3 linked regions of the Drosophila melanogaster genome follow. The gene in region 1 interacts genetically with each later gene. Each region holds a gene or a part of one and is shown in the gene's direction. Other genes may lie near its edges. The genes, in order: Usp47, csw and Dcp-1.

The links.
Region 2: of Usp47 (region 1) and csw, changing one enhances a phenotype caused by changing the other (phenotypic enhancement), as found in Drosophila melanogaster (one study listed by BioGRID).
Region 3: of Usp47 (region 1) and Dcp-1, changing one suppresses a phenotype caused by changing the other (phenotypic suppression), as found in Drosophila melanogaster (one study listed by BioGRID).

Annotation. Positions count from the first base shown.
Region 1 is NT_037436.4:5,749,180-5,755,915, forward strand, and holds the start of Usp47 (ubiquitin specific protease 47), read left to right. Parts: upstream 1-3,793; 5' UTR 3,794-4,055; intron 4,056-4,998; exon of another isoform or gene 4,999-5,087; intron 5,088-6,374; exon of another isoform or gene 6,375-6,446; intron 6,447-6,736. Other genes in the region: DnaJ-1 (DnaJ-like-1), read right to left, coding at 1,410-2,414. UniProt on the Drosophila melanogaster protein: Ubiquitin-specific protease that deubiquitinates target proteins to regulate different cellular and developmental pathways. Functions downstream of Dsor1/MEK to positively regulate the Ras/MAPK signaling pathway.
Region 2 is NC_004354.4:2,099,495-2,106,230, forward strand, and holds the start of csw (corkscrew), read left to right. Parts: upstream 1-2,794; 5' UTR 2,795-3,652; coding exon 3,653-4,281; intron 4,282-6,736. UniProt on the Drosophila melanogaster protein: Required in all receptor tyrosine kinase signaling pathways. Functions downstream of the receptor tyrosine kinase torso, acting in concert with D-Raf via tailless.
Region 3 is NT_033778.4:23,547,287-23,554,022, forward strand, and holds Dcp-1 (death caspase-1), read left to right. Parts: upstream 1-4,026; 5' UTR 4,027-4,436; coding exon 4,437-4,588; intron 4,589-5,014; coding exon 5,015-5,577; intron 5,578-5,637; coding exon 5,638-5,894; 3' UTR 5,895-6,261; downstream 6,262-6,736. Other genes in the region: wmd (wing morphogenesis defect), read right to left, coding at 204-324; levy, read left to right, coding at 1,004-1,100, 1,252-1,484; pita, read right to left, coding at 1,805-2,605, 2,662-3,750. UniProt on the Drosophila melanogaster protein: Involved in the activation cascade of caspases responsible for apoptosis execution. Proteolytically cleaves poly(ADP-ribose) polymerase (PARP). Loss of zygotic DCP-1 function causes larval lethality and melanotic tumors.

The DNA of each region.
Region 1 (6,736 bases):
TAACAATTGCATATTAAATACAATTTATAAGTCAGCCACACAACACACACACACACACACACACACACACACGAAAACCAAATTCGAAACAGAAATCAATAGCAAAATGCAGCAGGATTGGAAACAAATGTTGCCATTTTCGAATGGACAACAGCAGACAGCAACATTGAAATTCAATTTTTATTGTAAACCTAATTAGCAGCTGCAAACAAGAAGAACAAAAATATATTACAACAAAAACGAACATGAAATGGATGTTAATACTTTTTGAAAAAGAGAATAAAAAAAAAAAACAAATATGCAACAGTAAAGAAAGTAAAAAGAAATACACAATGATTATACAATTGCAAATGCAACTTAACACTCAACATAAGGATAGTGAAAATGTGTGACAAATGATTAAATTACGAAATCCTTTTGAAGAGAAAACAAATGAAAATAAAATGTGAAATTTAAAATAAAATTAACATGGAATTTCTTTTTATTGATTCTCTTTTTGGCTTTCGGGGATTTCAGGTTTTGGAAAAAGGATTTTAAACAACGATTTTATTTTAAATTTCATCTTTTCCACTCGACGTTTTAAACAAACGTTGCCAGTGATGCCAGATGGTTTTTGAAATGTAACACACGATCTATACACGCCAGGTGGCGTGTTGCCCTCTGGAAGTTTCCACATGTGGAGACTTTTGAATTGTTTGGCGCGCTAGTTATATATATTTAAAAATAGAAGAAATTGCCAGCAATACATGTTGTTTTGGTTTTAGCCACCACATTTTGATTGCCACCACGTGAAATCTAGCAATTTCTATAATGCTTGCAACCCACTGACCCAGAAACGACACTTGATGTGTGTATAAGTAATTTTATTGTTTATAACATAATAGAATTGGTACTAAAACGTACTATGTCCTTACGGCGTATAAATCTATAAGTGTTCTACTAACTGATGTAACCTCCCCGTGTTGGAATGCCGAAAATGTGCTTTGCTTGAAAAATGGTTAGTTACTTTAAATTTATAATACCTCATTTATTTAATATTTTGTTTTGGGATTATTATGTATAAGATGTTGAGGCACCGATTCATGTGGCGGTAAACAAAACAACTTATGGAATTTGTGTAATGCTAAATAGCTAATAATCGATCAGTCTCCAACACGAAACGGGCTACACGGGCTGCTTTATGTGTGTGTGTGTGTGTGTGTTGTTCTCTTTCCTAATCCTATCCAGCGCTTGCATCCTCGGCCAATATCTACAGCTCTTCGCTTGGCACACTCACTAGCTTAGGGCTACAATTGGTTAGGCTAAGTTGTCTTACGAGTACGTACGGTAAATTAAATATAGGCCTTAACTAAAGTGATAACAATTATATGCGTGTGTGTGTGTGTGTGTGTGGCTGGCACAGCTCTAGCCTAGTTGGGCAGCAGCTCGGACAGCTGATTCTGCAGACTGGGTGCCAGTGTGTCGGGAAACTTAATGTCGAAGGAGACGATCAGATCGCCGCGCCTCGATGGCTCCTTGGGCACCGGCAGACCCAGTCCGTTGATCCGGCGCGTTGTGGTGGGCTTGATGATCTCGTGGTTCGGATTCACCTGTATCCTGCTGCCCTGCAGCGTGGGCACACTAACCAGTGCTCCGCACAAGGCCTGCTTCAGACTGATCTGGGCTGTATACTTTAGATCGATTCCCTCGCGTTTGAACAGCGAATGCGGTTTGTCGCGAATGATGAAGACGATGTCAGCTGGCGTCTTGTTTGGCGCCGAATCACCCTCTTGGGGGAAGGTAATCTTGGTACCGGCCTTCCAGCCCGGCTTCACTGTGATCCTCAGCACCTTCTCCTCCTTGTACGGCCCATTGCTTCCGGTGGCCATGCGTGAGATTTTCATCTTCTTGATGCATCCCTTGTCCACTTCCTCCAGCGACACGAACAGATCATGCTCGATGGGCGGATCCTGCTGGCGCTTGCGACTGGGTGCCTGGGCATTAAAGGCAAACATATCGTCGCCGCCAATGTTCCAGAAGATCTCGTTGGTATTGCCGCCCTGACCGCCACTAAACATGTTATCGCCGCCGGTAAAGAACGCGCCAAACGGATCCGACGATCCAAAGAACTGGGCAAATGTGGCCCTCGGATCGCCGTGGAACTGGTAAGTGTACGCTCCCGGCTGACCGCCGCCATCTGGTCCCGGCTGTCCGCCCTTCAATCCATCCTCACCGTAATTGTCGAAGATGTCGCGCTTCTTTTTGTCCGACAGCACCTCGTACGCCTCGGCGATCTCCTTGAAGCGCTCCTCCGCCTGTGGGCTCTTGTTCTTGTCGGGATGGTATTTGAGTGCCAGTTTGCGGTAGGCCTTCTTGATCTCATCGTCGCTGGCCTTGCGCTCGAGGCCCAGAATCTTGTAGAAGTCTTTGCCCATCTCTCAGCTGAAAATATAGGGGAAACACAAACGAACGAACGCTATAGATTAGAATGAATACTGATTGCCAGCTTGCTGGGTTGGGGCGATGGAAAGTGCTAGAAGCACAGAACAGCACAGTTGTGCAACTGCCGTGTTGTCACGCGAGTGACGTATGTAGTCACCATCAACGAGAGCTCCGCTCCCGATGTGCTTCTTTCAGCAGATCAAATCGATGCGCCCACATGTGGCAATATGTCCAACGAAGCTTACCTTAAATGTAAGCGATTGTCTGGGAATCCGTAAAAGTTCAAAAATCCAAGTGGAAAAGTGCAAAATGCAATGGCAAAGTGCAATTGTTGGTATTGTTCACTGTGTATTCACACTATTTATATTTTCACGGGGCAATGTTCTTTAAATATTTATGAGTTTTGTCTCTTTCTCGCAATTGATTCAATTCAATTGTTCTTCTTCGCTTTTTTCTTTATCCACCAAATGTGGCTTGCGCACTAAAAACACACCCTACTTCAGAGTTTCTTTCTCTTCAAAATTTTGTTTAATAATGAGCGGGATTCGTGCGTCAACCTCATTTTATAGGTTCGCCCTCGTCTACGTCGAAATTTCTGGATGCTTCTCGGATTTTAGGGTTGTATCTCGAAAACGTTTGACTGCGAATGTCAATATCGATATGCTAACCGATAGCTGTCGATGTTTTAAACACAGTGCACTGTTTTTAAATCGCTCCCCATTTATATATATTTGTGCATGCTTTTGGCGGTGACTCTTCTTTATATGCTTCTTATGCTTTTACGATTATTATTAGCGCTTATTTGATTGCAAATGCCAAGGAAAGCGTGACTGTGATGGCGAAATGCGGAAAGTACTCCTTAAATCTCATATATCGCATAAAACTATCGGTTCTGGAATGTTTCGTGTAAGTCTGCGAAGATAGAGATCGATCTATTTTGAGGATACATTTGTTAATATTATAAGGGATTCTTCTACAGGGGTCAGATTGCTTAAAAACACACAGAAAAATAAACAAAATATTTCTTTGAAATATTGAAATATTTGAAATAGAAAAAACGTATTGACGAGGTAAGCATATTGTAAAAAGATAGGAAGGTGATGGAGAAAGTTGCACTTATATTGTTCAACCAAAGAGCTTATAATCAAAAGATCAATAGATATAAATATCTTTATATGATATAAAATATAATACATATAATATATTATAATATACAATGTATAAATTGCAAGTGTCAAATTGAATTCTTAGTGTAATATTCAAGCCAACGAAAAGTAACTGAAAGTTGAAATAAATAAATTTTTAAACTTTGCCAGTGTGACCGTAAGACCAAGACTTGGGCATTGCCACAGCTGCAATGCGTTTAGTATTTTACAGTCAGCGGCGGGCAGTCACACCGGAACGAGCACGTCTGGTAAAACAGCCGAACGGAACAACAAAAAACAATTGTAAAAATGACCCGTCGAGGCTCGTTTTAAGCGAATTTCTAGCGCAGTCAGGACGCAGGAGCAGCCGAGCAGGCCGGGATTAGGACCGGAGGAGCAGGATCATCGGGAGAGTAGAGCCGAAACCCACACTCACACACAAACGCAGCCGTATACCGCAGTATTTTCATACACACACACACACTTGAGGTGAGTGAGACGGAGGTACACACACATGCACACATACAGAGAGAAGAAAACAAGGCGCCCCACGAATTTTTGCAAAATATGGACGCGCCTTGCTAGGGACTAATTGCCAGCGCGAAGGACAACCATTGGGGCCACTTTTTGGGCCAAACTCCGGCCGACATATGCGTGTCACGTTCCACAGTCGAAGCCTTGACCGATCGCCCCGCCCACCGTTCACCGCCCCATCGCTGGAAGTATTGCGCAAACGAATGTGACCCTTAACCCTTGCCCCCCCCCCCCCTTCCACAAAGAATATCCTTTGGCATGGCGCCTGTTCAAAGGATGTCCCACTGCAGCAATGCAGCATTGTAGCAGCGACGGCAGACCCATAAAAATAGTCATTCATTCCCGCAAATAGAGAGCTGGCACATCGAAGAGAGCATACGGTCGACATTAATAGCACTTTCGCTGTAAACCCAAACATATCGCCTATATTCATTGAGTAATCCGTCTGGGTTCTAGGGACCCAAAAGTTCCCCCCAGTGAAATACCCACCCACTGCATTGTGCGGCGATAATCGTTATCAGTTGCAACTCGTGAGTGGTCATTGATATTCGCAAAAGGCAACTGGACAATGTTTGATTGTTATCAGACCCCTGATTGTAACCCAGTCAATAGCTTACATTACTCCCCATTATCCTGTTATTTGTTTAAAACAAGTGGCTTGGGTACTGTTGCAATCCGTGTATCTGTATTCATGTTCTTATCGCACCCCGAAGTTATAGAAGCTATATAAAAGTATTGTTTTCCTATTGAAGTGTAAGCCAGATAAGTAAACTGTTTCTCATTGTTATAGTACATCACGCCGAGAACTTAACACGTAGCTCGCTTCGCCAAAGATCGGGCGCCAGATCGGGTGGTGTATCTTCGGATCGCAATCGGAATCGGCATCGGCATCCTAAGCGGCCAGTACACGCGTGAACTATGCCGTGCGTTGACGGTGCGGTCTTCTAGTTCGGAAAGATTTCGGCACACTCAGTTCCGACACAGACGGTAAAACTCACCAAAATCCGTTGCATATATAGACCACGGATATATACACACTTATTCACACAACATTGGAAGCTCCAATTAAAGTTGTGCGACGCCTAAGAATAGAAAGCATTTCGTAATGGAGATTTTCTGTTCGAGAATGCATTATATGATCGGGAATCGAGAATCCTACAATTTCCGGCACTCAGCAGTCATATCTCAGACATCTCATGGTTTTTGTAGATCACATAGATTTCGCAGTACCGAAATAGTTCAAAAATAGCACAAATATATGCGAGCATGACTGTTGCCCCTCCCGCCGTCCCCCCATTGGATCGTGTATATGGCATAGATAACTCGCGATATCGGTTTCTGTAATACCCGACCAACACAAACATTGACCAAAAGATCATCGTCATCATGTAAATATTGAGTGGGATGGATGGGGCCAATGTGTTGAAAGTGCCTGACCATTCTGATGTATAGGATAGACGTATTCGAACAGTCTGTGCGCTTCTCTGAATTTCTCAAAAACCTTCGCATTCACAAATAGCCAGATATACGCGTATTCAAGACGCTCCCAAAGCTGTCTTATATCTTGCTCCTCCACTCGCCTGTGTGCTTTTTCCGACCGCTCCGATGTGTCGTTGTGTCGCCGCCGCCAGTTTTTATTTTTAGCAGCATGGGTTTCTTATTTTGATTTTGTGCTGGCCGACGTGTATTAGCATTTTTGGATCCCCATCTCACTCGCTCCCTTGCCGGGCAATGCGGTTTGTGTTTGGACCATCCAACATGTGTTTGAACGCCCAATTGCAGCGCATTCACATCGCACATCGTGGATGTGCATCCTCCATTCGGAGGAGACCCAAAATATCTTGGCTGACTGGCTGTCTTTTTTGTGGTTATTTCGGTGCAGAGAATTGGAAAAACATTGCAAATACCCCGGCCCCAATTGCTTGCGACACTCAATTAAATGCTGAGCAGTACGAATCACTAAAGATTATTGCCAAAATAGACATTCGAAAAGTATAATTTTAGATACAATTAATTGACAGGCGAATCGATGATATTTTTGACTGCATATTATAGAGTAGTTCAATCGCTTTTCGCCTAATATTCAGCATCTGCTTTCCTTAAATCTTTCGAATTCTACAAATGTTTCTAGAATAATTCGCAGTGTTCACGCTGATGTCCGATAAGTATTAATTTGTACATATGGATATGTCCACCGTCCACTTGCAATATGCGCACTGCCGAATTGAAGGCGCCAGATATTCGTTCGTATAATAGCCACCACTTCCGTTACAGAGTCTTGCGGGGAGCCACAAAGGAAGCCAGCTGAAACATGGAGCGACATTTGCACTGAAATTTATGCATTCGGTACGCCCGATGGTGATAGCTATGGTCATGATGATGATGATGACGTTGGTAGTCCATTGGAGGCAAATAATAATTCCCGTAGCATCCTCCGGAGGCAACTCTGATGGCCGGTTGTTTACGAAATTCCCCTGCGCGTTAGTCACGACGTCGATTTCGGGGGGCAGTCGATGCTCGATTGGGTGTACGTGCTATATGTGTATATCTATCTATATATATATATATATATGTATACGGCAACTGGTGCTGGCCCGTACAAATAAGGCGCGAAAAGCAAACCCGGAGCACGTCAA
Region 2 (6,736 bases), on another chromosome or scaffold:
ATGAGCCACAAAGAAAACGAGGAAAGATTCGAGTCAATAAATGGGGATGAGGGATTGATTCGACGGACCGAAAATCAAAGTTGTGGGGGGCCAGGCCAACGAACCAACGAAATATTCCAACCCAATCCAAAAGGAATACTTTTACGCCGCCACTAAGCAGCCGTGAGTCCCCTGCTATTTGCGGAGCTGGAGGTTTGATTTGCTTACAAAAAAGTGTTACATGGAAGCACTCACGTAGCATTCCATCTAATAGTATGAATTACGACACTGATCGTAAATCTCGGTATATATTTTTGGCTGGTGGAGCATGGCAAAAATCGAGCAGTATCATAAATCTCGGCCGCTATGGGGAAGCCCACCTGGCTACAACTAAAACTGGGCTCGTCTCTCTAGGCTTGGAGATTGGGAAACGCAACATGTTTGTGCAGGATGCAATAATCCTATAAAACTTTTTACACATTATTTCGGTGCTTGAGTTGGTGCCACGAATCCTGCATTGTCAGCAAACAGTATGATTTCTTGTTAACAAGCTGAGTTTTAGCTAAAAAAAAAAAAAAAAAAATGCAGCCCACGCCCACCGGCGGTGAATTTATGATTTGTAAATTATTTACAAATAATATAAGTAGTTCTCCTAATTGCCTCTTCCCGTCTATTTTTGATTTACCCCTTTCTGGGTGGGGTCGCAAAGTACTCATTTTAAAATTTACCATATAACCAAGCTCACAAATGCCCGGTATAATGGCCCATAAACTATACTCTCTGGCATTTGCCGCAAAACAGTTCTGTTGGTTTTTGGCTGATTTAGTGCGAACACGTCTGTACAGTGGTCCCCGCAGCGACCCACAATCGATTTGCGATTGCCAATTGGCTATTGGCTATCGGCTATTGGCTTTTGGCGACTGAATAACCCATTTCGAGGAGCTGTCGCCGCGCATTCGGTCCGGCACGCTTCACTTACGGATTGGGCTTTGGCTTCGGCTCCGCTGGCTGCCATCCCTGGGTCCCGAGACCAAATCTCAATCTCAATCCCAATTCGGAGTGGCGAACAATCAGTGGTCGGCACATATGTAGCTGTGTGCCTAGCATACTAACCATCCCCCGCCTCCGACTGAACAATAAATTATGTTTATTTCTGGCCCACTCCCCATCGCACCTACGAATGGTTTTGGCTGTGCCCAAATGCGGTCTGGGTCTCCAGCAACGAAATCGGGATAGCCAAGGTCGCGGAGCTCAGGAATGGAGCACTGGGGATACTGGGACTGGGCTGTCGCTCTGGCAACTGGTACCGATCAAGTTTATTTCTGGGTAGGGCGGCACTCACGGCACTCACTACTTCGCCGGAACTTTTAGTAATTCCATACGTAATGTAAACACGTTGGGTAGGCTATTGGTCAATGCCACTTCTAAATTGCGTTACCCGATCATTTCTAAGAACTTAAACTTGCGAATGGCCAATGTTGGCCTCGCTCTTAATTCTGTATCGATAGCAATCAGGTAGCTCAAATCATCTCTACTCACTTTTAATGCACTTCTCGTCTTGCATTTGCCATTGCAATGACTAATATTCTTAACCGACACCTAACTGCGCCCAGAAGCCCCATGTGGTTTCCACGGATCTGGTCCACCTGGCCTGGAACATCCTGTTTGCATTGATGCATGCATGCATAGCTACATGGGGTTTCCCCGACTGGTTTGAGCTGAGCATTTTCAATTTTGATCGAACACTTCGGAGACAATTTCCATTGAGTGGATTTTGAATGTGGTTTGGGTAACAAGTTCTAGTTGGTTTCCAGCGAAAAAACAATGACGAAATGTTGGAAAAAAAAAAAATAGTTCGTCATCGTTGGGAGGCATGAATACGAGGCTGGAAGTAAAGTGTTGCTAGATCGCAGTTCGCAGGCTGTCGCACGTCGAACGATTTTGTTTTGCTGGCCAAAAAAAAAAAAAAGATATTCTGCGCACGTTCGCACCTCTGACGTCTGCGCCTGCGCTGTAAGAGAGCTTTGGCACTGCTCGCTTCTAGCTCCCACTTACCCAACTACCAACCTGCCCACCTGCCCACCAACCCACCTGCCCCCCAGCAAACCCAGTTCCTTGCCTAGATGGCCGCCACAGTAGTTGCTGTGCGGCTTCAGTTTCATTTCCGGTGGCAGGCAACGGACGGCGCTAAAAGCGCTTTTTGTATTTGCTTTCTTACAAGCCAACAACACACTCATATCACGAAATGACCATTTTCGGATTGGAATTAATCTTATGTGCCTGCTTTTCGAAATGTGTATGATTCGGATTCTGATTGCGATGAACTCCATGACTCATCCAGGAGTACAGTCATTACGAAATAAACATAGAGTGGAGCCCGCTATACATATTTATAGGTATTAGCCTGGCTCTAGCACTTAATTGAAAGTAAATGAAAAGTAAAAGTGTAATTTTTTACAATGTTGATTGCAATTCAAAGTGCTTTCGCTTTCTGAATAAACCGTAAGTGGCGTCCACAGGATGGCTACAATTAAGTGGCGCCCGCTGAGGGGCCCAAGCAGTTTGATGATACTGAAACAGGAGCCCAGGGGAAAGCTGTGCACACACCCACTGCCAATCAATTTCAAAGTTACGTCTTTCGCTCCGTTTTATTTACTGTGTTTTTTTTTGTATTTGTTTGTGACTTCTGGCTCGCTGACAGTAAATAAAGCCCATAAATAAAAACACCCACCCACGAGATCGACAGGAAGGGCTAACCAGAGCGCCGGCTGGATTTAAAAACAAAAAGCGCCGTCCGCAGCCAGTCAAGATTCAGATTCATTCATACCCCAGCGCTTAGAACACCACCAGGCCACAGCTCCCGTCCGAGAGATATAGCCACTAAGAGAGAGCGGAAGAATCGAATCGCAAAGAGAGGAGCCGCGCTGAGACAACGTCAAGAATCCGATTTCGATTCCGATTGCGATTTCGAATCCGAGGCAAAAAGCTTCAGACTCGGCAGCAGGCGCTTCATTCTCGAGTTGTGATCCAACGGGTTAGCAGCTCAGCTCGCAAGCAGTCGCCGTTCGTCGTCGAGCGGCAAGCAGTTCGTTTCATTTCTACTGGGCGCCAGTACAAGTTCCATCGAGTGTTTTTGTTATTCGAAGGCAAAGCGCGAAAATTATGCCTTCAGCCACATTTGTCCTGGAGCATTTGATGGCGGCACAATCGCGACTCGACGAGCAGGCCGCATCCCCAGCAGAGGTCAAACCCACCAGCACCATCAACAGCAGCAGCACCACCGTGGCCAAGGCCATCAATGTCAAGTCGTACGAAAAGAAGCTGTTGCTGGCTCTCAAGAAGATTGTGCAATAATAAACGAATGCGGGGTAAACAGCACTCTATTTGACAAACTGTAGACATTTCCCCTAATCGAGCTGACTAAGATCAATAAAAAGCAAACAGAGAAGCACAACAAACAGCGGCAAAAAACAAAAACCAAGAATTCTAGTTTTTGTGCTTTCAGTGTGTGTTCGTGTGTGTGGGCAAGTTGTTACATAAAACAAAAACAATAACAAAATAAAAAAAAAATAATAAAAAAACACCCCAGCCGAGACGCATTTTTCCGCAGTGGAATACTACTATCTAAGCTTCTTTTTGTTTTGGTGTGTGCGAGAAAACGAGTGTGAAGAAAATGCTGTTCAACAAATGTCTGGAAAAGTTGTCCAGCTCGCTGGGCAATGTGGTCAATCACAAGCTGCAAGAGAAACAAGTCTACAACAACAACAATATCAACAATAACAATAACAATACGCTAAACAACAACAATGCCTACAACAATCAGCGAAACTTTGAGTACGAAAGAGCCATACAGGCGCACTACGGAAGCAAGGGAAGACGCTCGGAGGAGCGCGAAAGGAGCGGCAAGTTCAAGGCCAGCAAGGGTCGGAAAGCAAAGGTCACCCCACCAACGGAGACACCCGAGGCCCAGGAGCCGGCCTGCAAGAACTGTATGACCCACGACGAGCTGGCCCAGATCATAAAGGGCGTGGCCAAGGGCGCTGACGCGCAACGTAATCGAGACAACCGACTGCAGCGCAGACGTCGTCCTCTCTCCGCCCAACCCTCCGCCGCTGCCTCCGCCTCCACATCGACGGAATCTCTGCACCGTCTTACACCCAGCCCGCAGGCTTCCTACCCGGCCACGCCCACCTCCTGGACAGCCACACCGCCCCAGTTCCCAGCCGCCTTCGGCGGCGCCAGCTGCTCCAACAGCACACTGTCCCTCTTGGCCACCATGCGCGTCCAGCTCCATGGTTACACGTAAGTTCAGGTCGCCCAAAAAAAACGACAGCAGTCCAGTCCAGAGTGTTAGAAAAAGAGCAGCGTTCTGCTAATTTGGGGCGCGTGCGAAATTAGGCACTAATTGTTATTGGAGTGCGAGTAATGAAGTTGTCAGGCTGCCAACTAAACGATACCCCGTAGCAGGTGAAATGGTATTTTGAGCTACCATCGCATCGTAGTATGTCGCCCCGCCTGTCAGTCACATGTCGCGGAGTAGCAGATGATTCGCGGGAAATCTGGAGACAATCTGCTGCCCATCAACATTAACCCTAATAAGGCAGGCAATCACAGGCAGTTGACGCCGCAACAAAGCAAAAAAAAAAAAAAATCAGCGCAGCACATACTGTCATGTGTTCAGAATTGCCACGCAAAATGAGTAAATATTTACGCAAAGCATTCGACTCGAAAACAAGCAATCGTAAATTGACGTTCTAATATGAATGAATTTCCGACTGTCAAATGCCGAAGTGAAGTGAAGGGAGTGGAATGGCAAATGGCAGGGGGCCCAGCTCAGATCGCCACTCAAATATGGTCACATATCAACATATCAACCCCCCCCACACAATTGGCCCGTTGTCAAGTTGTGTTTCGATATTGGTTCTTTCATTTAGAGCTGAAGATTGAGTTATTGGTTAGGCACTGGCTAAATTACGCACTTGTAGAACCGGGAGAGTTCGGCGAATTGCCCACTGCAGACATCGTATCTTGGCCCACTGCCAGATCGGAATTATCTCTTCACTCGCGCCCGGAATGTTTACCCATGTCCCGCTGTTGCGCTGTCCGTCGTCCACATTCCCCAAAGATTCCATCCCACTCCGTGTCTGATCTTGGTGTTTATCTGCCCGGCTGTGCCATGTGCCGTCCGATTGTTTGTGTGGGCTGGCCCCATCTTGGCGATCTCGATTCGCACAGTACACCCAGAAAACAATCGCATATGTATCTGCTGGACTATTATTATGTCCCATAAATTATCTTTGACTTTTAGTTGAGCTCGGATTGGTAGTGCAGTCGGTTTCGGTTGTTGCTTATTTATTTATTTTGATTTTTATCGCAACGGATTCATAATCGCTGAACGTGTTGATTGGCTCGTTAACTTGATCTTTGTTTTTCTAATTTATGCTCAGCTTTTATAGGTATCCTGCTTTAGGGCGATCTTTTCGTCGTTATCCTAAAACGCACATCATGCCAAATGATCTGAAGATGATGTGCCAATAGCTTTGACAGCTTAAGCTGCGTGATTTCCGGATTTCACTTGTCACACTCACTAGGTCAACAATGGGGCACCGCCGTCCTCTGCCCTCCGCCTTGTAGAACTATTAACCTTCCGATGGTTTTTCTTCTCGCCATAAGGCTGATTAACGATTTATGAAATTACATTTCCCGTAATGGATTTCGAGCGCTGCCTTCTGTTTTGCATATTTCCGTTTATTTGTCCGTTGCACAACCGTGAGCTGTGGCTACTGATCAAATAAAAGCGTTTAATTTGTGCAAATTCATAACGTCGGCCGACTACAAGATGCTCTCAGTGGAAAGGCCCAATTATGGGGGGGAGGGCTTTGTTCTGGGGTTGTAACTCCATGGAAATTTTACAATTCTATCCCAGACTCTCCCCAACTAGTACTTTTCCCCGTCCAGTTCTCCAACTTGACATATCGTTTATATGCTTATTTTAACAGTTTGAACTGTTCAAAAAATATTATGTTTTGAATAGACTGTACTACTACTTCACACACTGCTTGCGAGTGGGCGGTTAGGGTAGGGGCAAGCAGCTCATTCGATAATTCAATAAGTATCTTGCCGACTTTTGAGTTAATTAATTGAAGGCCTCGTTCCCCTGCTTCCGCGCTCCACCTCGTAACCCCAATACCAGTCGTTTCGCTGCCGCCTTTCCAGGTGCGTTGCCACACGAAAAGCAAAATAAACCTGTGACAAACGAAACGACTAAAACACTGAGGGGGGGATTTGTATATGTATTCGGATATTGTGTACGAATACGCTGCACATATTCGTGTGTGCATGTAAATCTGTTTGTTGACCTTAGCGGCGCTTTCATGAATGGCGCGCAGCTTCCTCCGTATGGTAAATACAAATACGCCACATTCGCATTCGCTGCTGTAAGTGTAACTGTAAATGATGCAAAAAGGTGCAAAATTTTCACTGACGTACTCGGGTGATGGTAATTCCATCTGCTTGTATTTTTAACCCCCAGTCTGCCCGATTTAAATCGCTGAGTGAGAGCGCAACAGAAGTAATTTGTGTTGCTTTGTATTATCGTCACAGTGCTAAATTTAAAGATAAACACCGAAATATGGGTGGAGACGGAGACACAGTTTGGCAGCACCGCAGTTCGGCAGAATGACACAAAGGATATCAGCGATATGATCGATGTGGGCTGCGATAATTGCTAAGTTCAACTCGATTGCACGGGGTCAGA
Region 3 (6,736 bases), on another chromosome or scaffold:
ACACTGTCTATATAGAAACACTAGTTAAATCCAATTCTTACGGAATCTGCGTTGTGTCCCAGTTCGTCAGTGACTGACACTTCCGATTTTAACCCCATCGTATGATTATGACAACCACTGTGCGACGACGGAAAGTGGTGTATAAATAGCGCGCAAGGACGGCTAATCGCATGCGACTGGCTGCCCGATCCCGCGGACCTTACCTTTGCAGGCCGAGATGAGAAAGTAGCCGGCGTCGCAGATGTCGCTGAAGTCCAGGTGGACCACGGGTCGCGTGTGGCCACTGCAGGTCAGCGGGATTTGTCGCAAGTTGTTGGCGGCCATGGCAGTGGGCTGCTAGTGGATTGGTGGACTGTGTGGTCCTTAATACTTGTGGTTTTCTCCGAGTGTAGCGACCGTTATGTCCGCTGGCGAACTGTGCACTTAGTGAATAACTGACGTTTTGTGGCTACTTTGTACTTGGATTGGTTGTTGCTCCTGGTTAACTGCGCTTCACTGCCCGTACGATAATGATTTTCCCGTTCGTTGCTTAGGTTCGAGATGCTGCGGTGGCTTTGCAGGGTGTGCAGTGTATTTACAATCTGATGCACTGAATTTTATAAACAAGAGGGGAAAATAATTACGCGACACGTTGTTGTTGTGGATGGACGATTGGTAGCCGACTCCAGCCTCGATAGTCCGCACACACAGTACCTACCTATCGTCAGCGGTGGGCGCGTGAGGCGATAACTTCTCGATTAGCTAGAGCTGTGTCACGGCAGCCAGGGGAGGATACAAAGGAAAAATGTCAAATTACTTATTTACAATTTGGCATAGAATTGTTTTATTTTGTTTTTTATTTATATTAAGCCAATTAACAGCTTTGTTGTACGTAATTTAGAAATCACGGCCAACCACTATCGATATAATTTAGCGAACGAGTCACGACATTATGGATGTAGCCCATCCCTATTTACTTGTCAAAACAGCAAATTTTCATTCGGGCCAAGAATCGACTGAAAATATGTCCGCTATTCTAAACCACGCAATTCGCCGCCAATTCGGCGCTTCTGCCGCCCGGAATATGTCCGGCACCGCCGCCGTGGCCGGCGAGCACTCTGGTAAGTGACCGTCCAGCGTCCCAATTGCCAAATTCATCCCCTTTTGTAAGGTTAAGGTTATGTAATTTACCATTGGGCAAGATCGATTGGTGGAGAAGGATTCGCTCTTATAACACATCCTTTCATGCTCATCTCATCTCTCATCCTTCAGGTGGCTACAAGGTGTGGAAGCGCCTGTCCTTCTTCGTGGCCGTGCCCGCCGTGGGACTGTGCATGCTGAACGCCTACCTGAAGCACCAGGAGGAGCACGACAAGCCCCGCCAGGAGTTCGTCAAGTACGACTACCTGCGCCGCCGCGAGAAGCGCTTCCCCTGGGGTGAGGGCCAGAAGAGCCTGTTCCACAACCCCCACGTTAACGCCCTGCCCGACGGCTACGAGCACTAGGTGGCCACCGTCTCCGGTTCCCTCTGCGGGATGTATTCGTTGTTTGGTAGTGATAGACGTTAATGTAAACTGAACTTTACGCGGAAATACACAGAAAACACATATACCCAAACTCCAGTTGGCGCTTCAATAAAGATCAAATTAGAGCGAGGAGAGATCCCATAAAGACCATTTCAATGAGCGACAGCGGAATTCTGGTGAGGAGTTTATTTAAAAGGCCTTCGGTTAAAGGAAAAATTAAAAGTTACAATTAAATAGAATTTAAATTTAAGCATAAGCACGGATGCACTTTTCGCATGCAATATATTCAACTACTATCATTATTTTGCGGATCGGCGATTCTTAAGGTTGCGTTCCAGTTTGTGATGAGGCTTGCCTTCGTTCTTTCCTGTCTTCTGAGTGATTCTTTGAGCATCCCGACTGCGAGTTTGGCGCACGGATTGCTGGGCATCCTTGGGAGGATTGGTTTTACGCTGCTTTGGAGGCGGCGGCGTGAAGGATTCGTCGCTATCGTCTAGGTGGTCCTCATAGAGAGCATCGTCTTCTAAGTATTCCGTCACGAATTCTTCCTGCTTCACATTGTCCATGTCTTCAAAATCGTCAAGATGTTCCTCCTTCTCATCGACGCCGCCTTCTCCTTCGCCGTCGTCTTCGAACTCGTTCTGGTACGGCTCCATTTCCACCACATGATCGTCCTCGATGTGGCGCTGCAGGCATTTCTGCGTCAAGAAGATGTGGTCACAGAACTCGCAGGCATGGCGCTCGCTCTGCTTGTGCTGGTCCATGTGGCTCTCGACACTGTCGATATCTTCGATCTGCTTGCGACACATGGGACATTTCAGGCTGGCGGTGGCATGAATGAGCGCATGATCCAGTAGGTCGTTATAGTTGCTGTACGACACCTTGCACTCACTGCACACGAACGAGGCGTCGGAAGTCTGCGTGTGCGTGCGCAGGTGGCGCGAGAGATGATGCGACAGCATGTAGGACTTGTGGCAGTACTTGCAGGGATAGGCTCTCTTCCCGGCGTGGGCAACCAGGTGGCGGGCCAGCTTGGAAGCGGTGGAAAAGCTTCTCTCGCAATGCTGACAGGGGAAGGGAAGATTGGTGGAGTGGACTGTCTGAAAGTGGACATAATCGTTAGCCGGGGCAATCCCAAATATGCTTGTCAACCCACCTCATGACGCTCCAATCCCTGCTTGAAGGCAAACGACTTGGTGCAGACACCGCATTGGAACGGACGCTTCTTCTGATGTCGCTCGGCGTGCTTCTCCATCTCCTGGCGCGAAAGGAAGGGCTTCTCGCAGTACACGCAGATGAACTTGGGTACGTCCGTGTGGGTGCGCTCGTGGCGATGGAGCAATGCCTTCCGTGTGAAGGCTTTCGAGCAGATGGCGCACTTGAATGGCCGCTCGCCGGTGTGCACAAAGTTGTGCTTGGCCAGGTCGTACTTGGAGAAGAAGCTCTTCTCGCACAGGAGACACTGGAAGCTGCGCGAGCGAGTGTGATTCAGCCGATGGATCTCGAGCAGCTGCTGCAGCGGAAAGGAGCGTTCGCAATCGGGACAGGGGAACACATCGGTGGCCACCTTCTCGGCGTTCTTGGTCGGATCATCTTGATCGTCCAATGGCAGATCCGAGTCCAGAACCTCTGTCACTATGGCCACATTGCCACTATCATCTCGCTTGACTTTGGGTGTGGCCAGGCGCGGTTCCACCGGAGCGGCGGGTCCCTTGTTCAAGATCCTAATCGAGGACTTGTTCAGCACCTTCGGCTTGACGGGTGATGCCTTCTGGGGGATATCGGGGAACTCCTTCTCTAGCTCACTGGCCATATCCTCCAGCATGCTCTGCACATCGTCCATGGACAGCTCCTGGTTGTTATCCACCTTCAGCTCATAGGCGTGCGAACGACGTGGCACTGGAGAGGAACCGGCTACCGTCCTGGGGGTCACCATGGCGCTCTCCAGCACCTGGACGTCCTCGATGATCACCTGACTACTGGATTTGGCCATTGTGTTCAGCAGCTTTTTGGGCGTTTCGCTTGGCTCGGCTGTCTTTGCTGGCACGACCAACAACTTCTTGGAAGCCACCATCGTCATGGGCGCACGGGGCTTCTCCAGCGGCGATGGCCAGTTACCCGTGAGCGGATACTGGCGCAGGAGGGTCTCCGCCCGCTTGCACATCTGCTTGAAGCGGTAGCAGTGCTCGAAGAGGAGGCGGCACTCCAGACAGATGTGCCCCGGCATTCCGTCGCCGGCGTAGACCTGTTTTTAATGTTAGATTAGATAAATGTGTGAGTGACTAGGAAGCTACATTTATTCGGGGAAGTCCGTGCTTAAGCCAAATAATAAGGTAATATTCGTGGAACACCCCTATATGTTTTTCGCTACATAATAAATTAAACGCCATAAATGTCTCTTTCCCTTAAAATGAACAATATAATGTTAGAGTTTAAATTTAAACAAAGGCGCCGAGGACCAGAACACCCTCTACAAATTAATCGATGGCCACCAATCGATGATTAGTGCTATCGACGAGCGGCCATCGCCGCTTGGCGGCAAGTGCATACACACGACTACATGCAATCGCAGTTTGTTTTCGCCGCTCAGAGCACGCTTAACCTCCGTTAATTGATTGATTAAACACGTCCGACTGTGAGCCATAAAAGGACATTCGCTCGATCGAAAGCCGACAAAAGCTGGCTGAGAAGCGCAAAACAGCTGCGCTGCGCAAAGTTTGGCCAACGCAGAGCAATAGAAAACAGAAGCAGTGTCAGAATAAAACAAGAATCAGACCAAAAAGGGCGCAACAACTGCGGAGAGAGAAAAGGAAGGAAAGAGCAGCGCGTGAGCGAGGGAGGAGCAGGAGGGAGCGAACAAAAGGCAAGAGGAAACACAAGGAGAAACGCAAACAATCAAAACAAGAACTTAAGCAAGAAAAGGGGCGCAAGATGACCGACGAGTGCGTAACCAGAAACTACGGAGTAGGCATTCGCAGCCCAAATGGATCGGAAAATCGGGGCAGCTTTATAATGGCTGATAATACCGATGCCAAGGGCTGTACGCCGGAGTCTCTTGTTGTTGGTGGTGCAACTGCAGCGAGGTGAGTCCATGTGCCTCGCTCTCTCCCTCTCCCATCTCTCTCTTTATGTTTCTGTGTTTTGTTATCAATGCAAGTACTGGCATAACTGCTATATCCTAGTTTCAAATGCAGCATATAAAGCTCTTTTTTTTTTATTTATTCCATTTTCATTCCACAATCTATTATTTTTATATTATTTATACTGTCTATTGCCAACATTTAAAATCAATGTGTCAATCTGTCTTTATAATGTTGTTAAAATGGCTGAAGTCACAAAGTTTGAAAGCACTTGACTTTAATTCTATTGTTCTATTTAGTCTTATTCACAAATATATTTGAAAATAATTACATAAATAAATACCCAATCATCGATTATTTCGCCGATTACCTTATCTTATCATGCTGCTTCCCAAATGGCTATTATAATTCTGATTTCTTTTTCCCCAGCCCCTTGCCGGCCAACAAGTTTGTGGCTCGAATGCCCGTGGAACGATATGCAAGCGAATACAACATGAGTCACAAGCACCGCGGAGTTGCGCTGATCTTCAACCACGAATTCTTCGACATACCCTCGCTGAAGAGCCGCACCGGAACAAATGTCGATGCCCAAGAGCTGAAAAAGGCCTTTGAAAACCTGGGATTCGCGGTGTCCGTGCACAAGGACTGCAAGTTGAGGGACATCCTGAAGCACGTGGGGAAGGCCGCCGAGTTGGACCACACGGACAACGACTGCCTTGCGGTGGCCATACTCTCGCACGGGGAGCACGGCTACCTGTACGCCAAGGATACGCAGTACAAGCTGGACAACATCTGGCACTACTTCACTGCCACCTTCTGCCCCTCGCTGGCGGGCAAGCCGAAGCTGTTCTTCATCCAAGCCTGCCAGGGCGATCGCTTGGACGGAGGCATCACTCTGGAGAAGGGCGTTACCGAGACGGACGGGGAGTCCTCGACGAGCTACAAGATACCCATACACGCCGACTTTCTCTTCTCCTACTCGACCATTCCGGGTAAGGAATATGATTAGGTAACTATTTTAGTGAATTTCACTAGCAATCTCGTCCTGTTAGGCTACTTCTCCTGGCGCAACATCAACAATGGCTCCTGGTACATGCAATCGCTGATCCGCGAGCTGAACGCCAATGGCAAAAAGTACGACCTGCTCACCCTGCTTACATTCGTTAACCAGCGCGTAGCCCTAGACTTTGAGTCGAACGTGCCCGCCACACCGATGATGGATCGCCAGAAGCAAATACCGTGCCTCACCTCCATGCTGACGCGCATACTGCGCTTCGGCGACAAGCCGAACGGCAATAAGGCTGGCTAGGAAGAGATCTCCCTTCGAAGAAGAACTTTCAACAGAGGTTGTACAACCATCGCCCGCAATCATTCACGTTGGATTCCAATTCACTTCAAGTTTAGTTTTAGCTGACGCGTGCGATTATCCCGATGGATATTGAAGCACCCGACTCCCTTTCATTCATTCCCCTGCCTTTCCCATGCCCATTTCGGCCTTATCATTGACGAAATTCGTTACCCATTTACCCACTAGATGACTTCCGTATGCATAAGCGAGACCTTGCCAATAGAAAACCCACAAATTTGAGATAAGATAATACAATGAAGATTTATACATACATACATACTTTTATGTACACGCAAACATTTATATTTGATATGAATAAAAATGAATTAAAAACATAGCAAGGTATCTCCCCAATTGAACGTAGATGGGTAATTTCGATCTAAGCAACTTTGTTTGAAGACAGGAGCTGTCTGGGCCAGATTGAGTACGTTGATATGGGAAATAAAAGATAACAATGAAGACTTGGTTGGCTGAATCAGTGAAATTGTACGAAACTTTAGTGGAATTCAAATTAGCATTATTAAGAGTGATTAATTAAGATTTTTCTCACTCTAATTTTATTAATTTCCTAAATTTTATATTTATTTCCTAATTTTATAATTTAGGAAATTAATAAAATTAACCAAATGATGATTTTTGCGTAAATATAAGTATCGAAGGAACTATTAATGCATTTAAATATGATCTCGATTTGAATTTAGCGCCAAAAACAACTGACAGCTGTCAGGGCGATCAGCTGTTGACGCACTAGTGTGCGTGTGGCGCAGTACAGTTGCCCCAAATCGCAGAAATTTTCATTTTTC